2 linked regions of the Saccharomyces cerevisiae S288C genome follow. The protein of the gene in region 2 purifies or fractionates together with the protein of the main gene of each other region. This does not show direct contact. Each region holds a gene or a part of one and is shown on either strand. Other genes may lie near its edges.

Region 1 (2,707 bases), on a different chromosome or scaffold from region 2:
TGTCTGGAATCTGGTAATGCAGCGTAGGCCACAAGATTTGTTTACAGTAGTTTTTGTATGCGGCTTTGAAGGTGTCGTCGTCCGTAAGGACAGGATAGGAGTCGTACTTGTCTTTTAAAGAGTCAGAGATGTTCGCAAGGATATTTTCCGGAATCTCATCCGTTGGGATTCCGACGGTACCGACCCACTTAACATGACGGTGCGGAATGATATTCTCCAAGACTGCAGTGTTTATGGCGTTCTTCATGGCGCCATTACCTTTGATAGAGGGAACGATCGACCATGGAAGACGGCTAAACAGCTCCTGAGATGACCTTAACAGCGCATATTTCTTAAGTTTAGATTTATTGGAATAGCCGCCGAACTTTGGAACCTTGTAGTCCTGCTTCGCGTCATCCATTTCCAAATCAGAAACATATTCCTCGTCAGGGGCAGTAGTTAGATCATCCGGGTCCGACTCATTATGCTGCGAAGACGTCTCACTCGACGAAATATCTGCTAACTCCGAATATTTCAGATTAGAAGGCTGTTTAGCCAATAAGGGACGCTGTTTTGCAGCAGACGCAGTCAAGTGGGGCGTAATCCTTTTAATGGAAGGTGGCGCAGAAGACCCAGAAGATCCAGAGGAGGCCGAACCTTGTTTGGTCCTATTAACTAAAGAAGTAGCCGCCGAAGTAGGCCTGTTGCCCGCCCTCGATTTCGGGGTAACAATGTGGTTGTTGGGTCCTTCTAGGCTAGTTTGTGAGGTGTTGTTCAACAGTGAGTGCACTAACAATGACTTGTTGACGTTCTTTAATAAGTTGGTCGTGGGGTCCTGCTGTTGCTGTTGGATTGGCGAAGCAATTCTCGAACCGGAGTCATGCTCATGCTGGATTGGCGATGCGATGCGATCCGTGGGAATATTGGAAGAAGGGGAGAAGAATCGTTCCACGGAACCATTTTTCCGGGGTTTAAGCATAGTCTTGCTTGTTGGCGTATGTGAGGTAGTTGCATTCGCAGTCAAGTTTTCCATGAATATGTCCGAAGAGACAAGATCATCTAAAGTGGCAGTATTTGTCGTAGACGAGGCGCGGTTGAAAGCACTGGGTGACCTGGTGGCACTCCTTGAGATTGCTGGGGGGACACCTTGTTCTGGTGCTGGCGCGACCAATGATTCCTGTGAGATGTTGTTAGAAAGCGCACGTTGTTGCTGTTGGTCATTGGCCATAGCCTGGATGTTCACGAGAGATGAGTCCACCTGCGAGTTCTCAGGGAGAGAGGTGTCAAGCTCGAATTGTGGTTGGTAGGGCAAAAACAAAGATGCCACGATGAGAGCCATTGTGTTGATCTTGCGTTGCTATTGTATTCTTTGCTTTGTTTGGTTTTTTAATCGACGGGTGGGTGGATGTGCAATGACACGGTAGATCCTTATATTTATAGTTACATTAGTATTTATATTTAAGCTTGGCTAGACGGGGGCCCCAGGGTGAGTGTGCTAGCCCCTTGGTTCTACCCCCTTCTCCTTCCCTAGGTAACTGACACCATAGCCGCTGCCCGGACCCCCGCCCCTTCCTATCTCCCTTCGGCGAGGGCGCCAGGCCCGCCAGCCGGACTTAGACACTTTCGAGCAAGCAATCCCAAATACGCCATATCAAAATGCAGGGGCGGGGTGACCCGCTTTTCTCGAAATTTCTATCTGGCCCTCTGTTTCGCCCCTTTTACCCTGAACGCGATTTTTGAGCGAGACGAGAAGAGCAGAAATTTCGCAATAAGTTACTACAATGGTGCCCGCTTTAGAATAATAACTCGGGACACATTTATACATTCCCACACACACAGACGAGGCACGGCTACCCACGCGCACAAAAGTAAAAATGGATGGATCGACTATAGTGTTTATACTGACGATGGTGTGCTTGTTTGTTTACACCGTGAAACACAGGGGCGCCAAGCAAGTACCCTCGCGAACCGTACAGGATGCCAAACCGGCGCCCTCGGTCGCCACCAACGACCCTTCTCCGGAGCCAGTACCATCGGCTCCGGAGGAACGCGTTGCTCGGTTAAACAGACATGGTAGTGATCGAAAGAGAGCCGTTAATAGTGACATGGTTGAAATCGTGATGACGATGGCGCCACATGTGCCTCAGGAAAAAGTCGTGCAAGATCTCAGGAACACAGGGTCCATTGAGCACACAATGGAAAATATCTTCGCTGGCAAACTAGATTAGGCATTCTTATGTACCGCATTAAATATATTAAAAATCACAAATCGACTGGCGTAGGATGTATGCGCCTCTTTTTACTATCGCTACTATTGCAGGGGATCTTCTTCACCGGCAGCATGTTCACGATCCCACCTGCCTCGCGCTGGTTCTTAGCCGCTACCGCGCTCTCGTCAGTGTCTAGTGGCTCTGCATGCATCGCTGGCGGCTCTATCCTTGAACCGAATTGCGTTTCTGTGTCGATCGATACATACGAACAGAATCCGTCTGTTGATGAGATTAGTAGGGTCGAGCCATCCTCAGACCATGCTAAATCAGTTATGGGTGAGTAATGTATATTTCCCACAACGCATAACGGCTCCAATACATCCGTGTCGTACACGAGTACTTCGTTAGTCGTTGCTATGGCAAATACTAGCTTATAGGGCAGCTTAAGCACACTCTTCTGGCACGTTTCGTAAAATACGGGCGAGAAAGCCGCCATCAGCGCTGGTTTCTTCAAAGAT
Region 2 (8,308 bases):
AATTTAGAAAGCCCTCGGCCTTTGATCTATAATTAGTTTGCTAATCGTTTGATCCCCTTTAACTTGCAATAACTTTTCCCGATGAGGTAAAAATACAGCTTAACCGCCAAGAAATTGCGCGGGGCCAGAAATCAAATTTAAAGGAAGTAGTGTACAATAAGGTCGATTTACTCCTTCAACTACTACTACATTCGGAAATGGTTGCTCGGTTCCGAATAAGGTCTCTTACGCTAGCTTCCCGGTGACCTTACCGATCTATGCCCGTAAAGTATTTTTGCAATTGTATTCTGTACAAAAGTTGTCTTTTGGATGCATTTTTCACACATTTGCATCAATGAAAGTCCGAATGCGCCTATCATCCCGTTGTTGTCTTAAGATTATAAGAAAGTACATGGGCAAAAACACGATAATAGTAATGTAGTGACTCCCGTTTAGAATAAAGAGCTGCGCACATACCTAAAATGGTTGCACATTTTAGAAACCTACTCGGTGGCACGTGAAGTGGTATACATTTAGTTAATAGTTAAATAATTTTCGTACAGAATATCGCACCGTCTCTTAGCATAACAGTGTATCTCACAATCTTTGTTCCTGTTACTAGAGCGAAAACTTAATGATCTAGTTATATCTTCTTTTGTCCCCTCTTGGCCCCTCAATAATGTTTTATTTAGCACCAGCACTTTTCTCATTTGGTTTTTCTTTTTTTTCTAATATATTCTGCCTTTCCTATTTAGGTAATAATTCCTCGAAGCCAGACGCCTTTTTCGGCTACTTTTTTGACAGCTGCTGCCCCTTTAATGAAACGGTTGGTCGAAAAGGAGTCAATGTATATCTCATATGAAATATGCAAAGCATTCCTGTCATCGGAAAATGACGTGGCTTGGAGCGCATAAAAATGGAGAGATCGGCCAGCTTGCTCTTAATTATATCATCATTTATTATTAGCAGCCTTTTTATGTCCTGCCAATTATAGAAGCAACGCTAATAAAAGAAATTGAGATGGCGGACGTAAATCCTTCTTGGAGCTCGATTACTTGCTTTAATAATACGATGGACCATCATTTAGCCCATGTATCTGAAAGGGTTTAGACTGTGTCCAGTCAATCTCTCCTGCCCAAATATTAGAACGCTGGTATACTAATTATTCTTTCAATAAGAAGATCGTAATGCTACAATTCTCACATATAAAAAGGAGCAAGATCTTTACTACTTTATGCATAGTTGTCCTATCTTCTCTATTACTGTATAAGAATAATATCATCAAGAAAACAAAAGTTAATACACTGGTATTAAAAAAAAACAAACTACAAAACTCCCCTAATAGTATATTCTAGAAAATGCAATACAAAAAATCATTAGTTGCCTCCGCCTTAGTTGCTACATCTTTAGCTGCCTATGCTCCAAAGGACCCGTGGTCCACTTTAACTCCATCAGCTACTTACAAGGGTGGTATAACTGATTACTCTTCTACTTTCGGTATTGCTGTTGAACCAATTGCCACTACTGCTTCCTCCAAGGCTAAGAGAGCCGCTGCTATCTCTCAAATTGGTGACGGTCAAATCCAAGCCACTACCAAAACCACTGCTGCTGCTGTTTCTCAAATTGGTGACGGTCAAATCCAAGCCACTACTAAAACCAAAGCTGCTGCTGTCTCTCAAATTGGTGACGGCCAAATCCAAGCCACCACCAAGACTACCTCAGCTAAGACTACCGCTGCAGCCGTCTCCCAAATTGGTGACGGTCAAATTCAAGCCACTACTAAAACCAAAGCTGCTGCTGTCTCTCAAATTGGTGACGGTCAAATCCAAGCCACTACCAAAACAACTGCTGCAGCTGTCTCTCAAATTGGTGACGGTCAAATCCAAGCCACTACTAAAACCACTGCTGCTGCTGTTTCTCAAATTGGTGACGGTCAAATCCAAGCCACCACCAATACTACTGTTGCTCCAGTCTCCCAAATCACTGATGGCCAAATCCAAGCCACAACTTTAACTTCTGCAACCATTATACCATCTCCAGCTCCAGCTCCAATTACTAATGGCACTGACCCAGTAACTGCTGAAACATGTAAAAGCAGTGGCACTTTAGAAATGAACTTAAAGGGTGGTATCCTGACTGACGGTAAAGGTAGAATTGGTTCTATCGTTGCCAACAGACAATTCCAATTCGATGGTCCTCCACCACAAGCTGGTGCTATCTATGCTGCTGGTTGGTCCATCACCCCAGAAGGTAACTTGGCCATCGGTGACCAGGATACTTTTTACCAATGTTTGTCAGGAAACTTCTACAACTTATACGATGAGCACATTGGAACTCAATGTAATGCAGTCCACCTACAAGCTATCGATTTGCTCAACTGTTAATCATAAGTTTACCTCTCATAGTCGCATGAAAACATAAAGTCATCGTAGCATATTCTGTACATTAGTCATTTCTGTCTCCAAAGGGCATAATTTGGGTCGGTTCATTTTTTTCTTCTTAATTCGTCTCTTCATTTCATAAAGCTTTCTTTTGAAACCTATGAAATGAGCTTTACAGTTCTTCACTCTTTTTTTTAAAGTTTGTTTATTTTTTTATACTATATACATTATTATTTCTAAAAAATCATTATAAATTACGTTAAAAGCGCACCTTATACTTTGATAGAGTTTTCCCAGAAAAAAAACCAACGAATTTGATAGTACCAAGACTTCACGGGATTGAAATCGGATGCAACTTCAACTATTCCTGGGACAGAATATTTCTCAGACATTACTTTGTGTACCGTGGAGCCCTTTCTCATTTGAGAAGGAAACAAATTGTTGTCATCTTATAATGCCATATATTCGTCACTATCTCAGTCAAAATTTAAGAAAATTGACATGCATATTATCATCCATTTAGTAGTATACGTGTTACTAGTATATTATCACACACGGTGTATTCTGTACACATAATATTATAGCCTTTAACAGCAATGAAATCCAACATTCCCCACAACATTCACCAATTATCCATGTAAATGAAAAGAGTTCTTTAATATTTACATGAGTAATTCCATTACGTTTCAATTTTCTATCCTTTGTAATCCGATATAGTGTAACGGCTATCACATCACGCTTTCACCGTGGAGACCGGGGTTCGACTCCCCGTATCGGAGTTTTCATTATTATTTTTAATCTAGCAGTACTAGCGTGATGTTAATGTTACTCATTTTATTTTGTTGAATCATTATGGTGCAGTACTTTTCATAGATATGTATTTCATATGTGTCTTTTCGTCCTAAACTACAGGATGTTAATCGTTGAATATGTATATGTTGATGCCACGTAAATAATATGTGTATTCTTTTTGCATCGCTGTCATTAAACGCGAAAAAAAAACCTTAAAGGTAAAAAGAACCGTTCTTTACTATATATTCAACAACCCATCTTCGACCAAAGCATTGAAGAGCCTTAGGACTCATACAACTGAAATCTGTAAAAAATGTGGAACAAAACCAGAACGACGCTTCTGGCTGTTGGTGTCTTATTTCATTTATTTTACCTATGGTCTATTTTTGATATCTATTTCATTTCACCGCTCGTTCATGGTATGAGCCCATATCAAAGTACTCCAACCCCTCCTGCAAAGAGATTGTTTTTGATTGTCGGTGATGGTTTACGTGCAGATACCACTTTTGATAAAGTCACTCATCCAGTATCCGGAAAAACAGAATTTCTGGCACCTTTTATTAGATCTTTGGTAATGAATAATGCCACCTACGGTATATCACATACCAGAATGCCAACTGAATCCCGTCCTGGTCATGTTGCTATGATTGCTGGGTTTTACGAAGATGTTAGTGCCGTCACAAAAGGTTGGAAGTCAAACCCTGTCAATTTCGATAGTTTTTTCAACCAATCTACTCATACTTATTCATTCGGTTCACCTGACATTTTACCTATGTTCAAAGATGGCGCTTCTGACCCAAATAAAGTTGACACTTGGATGTATGATCATACTTTCGAGGATTTTACGCAATCTTCCATCGAGCTGGATGCTTTTGTCTTTAGACACTTGGATCAATTATTCCACAATTCCACACTGAACTCAACATTGGATTATGAAATTAGGCAAGACGGTAATGTATTCTTTCTACATCTACTAGGTTGCGATACTGCCGGACATTCTTATAGACCATATTCTGCCGAGTATTATGACAATGTCAAATATATTGATGATCAAATCCCTATCCTTATAGACAAAGTCAACAAGTTTTTTGCGGACGACAAAACCGCATTTATTTTTACAGCAGATCATGGTATGAGTGCATTTGGATCACATGGTGACGGTCATCCTAACAACACAAGGACCCCTCTTGTTGCTTGGGGTGCGGGTTTGAATAAACCAGTACATAATCCTTTTCCGGTATCCGACAACTATACTGAAAATTGGGAGCTTTCGAGCATTAAAAGAAATGATGTCAAGCAAGCAGATATTGCTTCTTTAATGTCATACTTGATTGGTGTGAACTATCCTAAAAATTCAGTTGGTGAGTTACCAATAGCATATATCGATGGAAAAGAAAGTGACAAGCTTGCCGCATTGTACAACAACGCAAGAAGCATTTTAGAGCAGTACTTAGTCAAGCAAGATGAGGTAATAGACTCTCAATTTTTTTATAAGGAATACTTCAAGTTTGTTGAAAAGTCTCATTCACATTACTTAGAAGAGATAGAAACCTTAATTCAGCGTATATCTGAAGGAGAAAACTATTTGGAACAAGAAGCAATCACCCTTACAGAGGAATTAATGCAGATAACATTGGAAGGTTTACATTATTTGACAACCTATAATTGGAGATTCATTAGAACTATTGTTACATTTGGGTTTGTTGGGTGGATCTTTTTTTCTTTTATAATATTTTTGAAATCATTCATATTAGAGAATGTAATTGATGACCAAAAAGCGTCACCATTAAGCCATGCAGTATTTGGTTCCATAGGAATTTTACTAAATTGGATTTTGTTCTACCAACATTCTCCGTTCAATTTTTACATGTACCTTCTTTTCCCATTATACTTTTGGAGCTATATTTTTACAAATAGATCCGTACTACGTTCAGGTATCAAGGAATTCTTCAAAGGTACCTCTCCTTGGAAAAGAGTTTTAATAACAATCTCTATTATATCAGTTTATGAGGGAATTGTATATGGATTTTTCCATAGATGGACGTTTACGCTAATTACAAATATATTGGCGTTTTACCCGTTTATTTGTGGGGTGAGAGAGCTATCCGTGAATATATTGTGGATCATAACTAGTGTTCTTTTATCTACATTTACCTTATTTGACGCTGTTAAAATTGAGGACTTGAACCAGATACATCTAGCAGGGTTATTAATCATTCTCAGTGCCTTTTATGCTCTTTACAAAATACATTCCAGGATAAATTCCTACACGCGTGCTATATTTGCCATTCAAATTTCCTTGGTGGCTGCCATGTTGGCGGTTACTCATCGTTCAGTTATCTCTTTACAGCTAAGACAAGGGTTACCAAGAGAGTCACAGGTCGCTGGATGGATAATTTTTTTTGTATCTCTTTTTGTAATGCCAATTTTACATTATAGGAAGCCCAACAATGATTACAAAGTGAGATTATTGATCATTTATTTAACCTTCGCACCATCCTTTATCATTTTGACTATATCATTCGAATCCCTTTTCTACTTCTTGTTCACTAGTTACATGGTACAATGGATTGAAATTGAGAACAAAATCAAAGAAATGAAGACCCAAAAAGATGAAAATTGGTTACAAGTGCTAAGAGTTTCAGTAATCGGGTTCTTTTTACTTCAAGTCGCATTCTTTGGAACTGGTAACGTCGCTTCAATCTCTTCATTTTCATTGGAGTCTGTTTGTAGATTGTTGCCAATTTTTGATCCTTTCCTGATGGGCGCATTATTGATGTTGAAATTGATAATTCCCTACGGGCTATTGTCCACATGCCTAGGTATACTGAATTTAAAACTTAACTTCAAGGACTACACAATCTCATCATTAATTATTTCCATGAGTGATATTCTGTCGTTGAATTTTTTCTACCTTTTAAGAACGGAGGGGTCGTGGTTGGATATTGGCATAACCATTTCCAACTATTGTTTGGCGATCCTATCATCTTTGTTCATGCTTATTTTGGAAGTACTCGGTCATGTGTTGCTAAAAAATGTCATCATACAGGATAAAACCAAAAAAACACAATAGATTCACATACCCACCGCTATGTATATATTTTCCTATATGTATATTAAGAAAGACAGGGGCAATCTACCTGTTGAATAATTCTATAAATGCCTCAAAGGAGGCAAAATCAAGGGGAAATACTAACCTATAACCTTATTCAAGTTAGTAGAAATGTATCAAAGAAAATGTTCCTGTTTTTTCCGGTTATCTTATTATCTGCTTCTTTTAAGTTATGCCCAGTTAGTAGGCAACTATTGCGGAGAAAAGAATAAGGGAATCAAGGTCTTGGAATTCATTCTAAAAAATAAATCTGAAAAGAAAAAAATTCGGATATATAAGAAGTCTTTACACGTTGGCCACCGACACTGTACTGAGGTAAAAATCTTCTGTGATGGTAAATCAATGTGTTATTTTCCGATTGTTTGAAGACAGTATTTTATGTCTCAATTTCTCATTTTCGAACTAACAAACAAAAGAGGCATTTAATGATACTGAATTGAATACTTCAACACTCTCACGAGTTTAATTCAAATATAATCACAACCATAGTGGCCAATTTTGACACATTAAGGAATACATTACTTGAGCTTTGTCTAAGTACTATCCATTTGGAGCGTTTTTAAAAATATATAACTTTTGCCTTTATCTTTTCGATAAAGTACTCCTGTCGAAAGAAATGGCGGCAAGGAAAAATTTAAACTCATCAAGTACTTCAATAGCTTTATACTAGCAATTTTTGCTAGTGAATTTTTTAATAGCAGGTCTTGTAACAGCTATACAGCGAAAAAAAAAAGCACATCTTTGAAATAAATTACTATTCGCGTTCATTTTTCCTAATCACACCTAATAATGTACACAATCAGCAGTTTTCTCGCCTTAGCACCGGGTGCCCTTCCAATAGTTGTATTTACTAGTTTGAATCGAGAAACTTACCGAATTGTAGCGTGGTGACAATGCCAATATATTGCTCGTGAATTTACCTTGAAAGTTCAATGAGTTTAAAACAAGAAATGGCCATAGATTTTCATTTTTAAATGCAAAAAGCATTCGAAATATCTACAATTTGCACTAAAGTCATAACGATAAAAGCATTCACTGCCCGCAGGAAGACTAATTCCTTAGTTTTTGATGAAAAGTGGAATTTTTGAGACTTTATTGGTTTGGGTAGGTCTCTATGACCTGCCAGTCGTCGTTGCCAGAAAATAACGCAACAACATCAATTGCTTAAGGAGCGAAAAAATTGACGATTGTTTAAACTTTCCAAGATCTATTACCTTAGCAAGACAATTTCTTCTCTAAGTGAGCTTCGGGGAGTTACTTTTATAACCGCATACCATACTCCATTTAATGTCCCAACTATTTCAAAAGTTGTACATGGAGGTCCATCAGCAAGTATTTTTTTTTCTTCAAGCTATCCATCTCAGATAGTTCCCTTTACCGAGCTTTAGGAGGGATAAATATGGCAAATCTATCACTTATTCGTCAACAATATAGTAAATGCCGGCAAAATTACGGCCTACACAGCGAAGCTTGGACCACATATACTTATATGCCATGGTCCTAATTGAGTTCCTAGGTTTGTCACGACGGTGGCCACCGGCCGATCAACCGTATCATTTACTATTTTTTTCAAGAGGACAACGACTTCATTCTTCAAAAAGTCGTTCCAGGTACGAGTGATTTAGGAAGGTCTGAAGAAAAGCGACTATGCATTTTTGCAAAATTGCGTCAACGTTTCAGATACTCTCTGGTGCGCAAAAATGCGTTTATTTCAAGCCAAGTTGCAATCTTTATCAAAACTTGATATACATTAAAATACTCACTAATATATATATATATATATATATATGTACATATACATATATAGATTTATATGACGTTTCCGACGCATACTGGTGAACCACTTTCTTTTTAGTGAATAGCCTCATTATGCAGTTTCCGGTATTTTTTTTCCGTTGCTTCAGCTACGGGATTTCTTCGATGCCATTGAAAAATAAAGTTGTGTTCAATGAGAATATGGAAAGAAAAGACACTTTTTACCAGCTGATCTTAAAAGTTTTGTCTGCTTTATTACTTCTATCGGTAAGAAACTCGAGTGGACATA

What was found. The genes of interacting proteins can lie anywhere in the genome.
Region 1: the proteins of MCD4 (region 2) and CUE4 purify together in Saccharomyces cerevisiae (affinity purification with mass spectrometry, with the first as the bait; one large-scale study listed by BioGRID). This does not show direct contact.

The regions. Positions count from the first base shown.
Region 1 is NC_001145.3:69,235-71,941, reverse strand, and holds CUE4 (Cue4p), read left to right. Parts: upstream 1-1,853; coding exon 1,854-2,207; downstream 2,208-2,707. Other genes in the region: TSL1 (trehalose 6-phosphate synthase/phosphatase complex subunit), read right to left, coding at 1-1,318; YML100W-A (uncharacterized protein), read right to left, coding at 1,631-1,804; CAC2 (Cac2p), read right to left, coding at 2,242-2,707.
Region 2 is NC_001143.9:135,849-144,156, reverse strand, and holds MCD4 (mannose-ethanolamine phosphotransferase MCD4), read left to right. Parts: upstream 1-3,465; coding exon 3,466-6,225; downstream 6,226-8,308. Other genes in the region: PIR1 (beta-1,3-glucan linked protein), read left to right, coding at 1,338-2,363. UniProt on the Saccharomyces cerevisiae protein: Ethanolamine phosphate transferase involved in glycosylphosphatidylinositol-anchor biosynthesis. Transfers ethanolamine phosphate to the first alpha-1,4-linked mannose of the glycosylphosphatidylinositol precursor of GPI-anchor.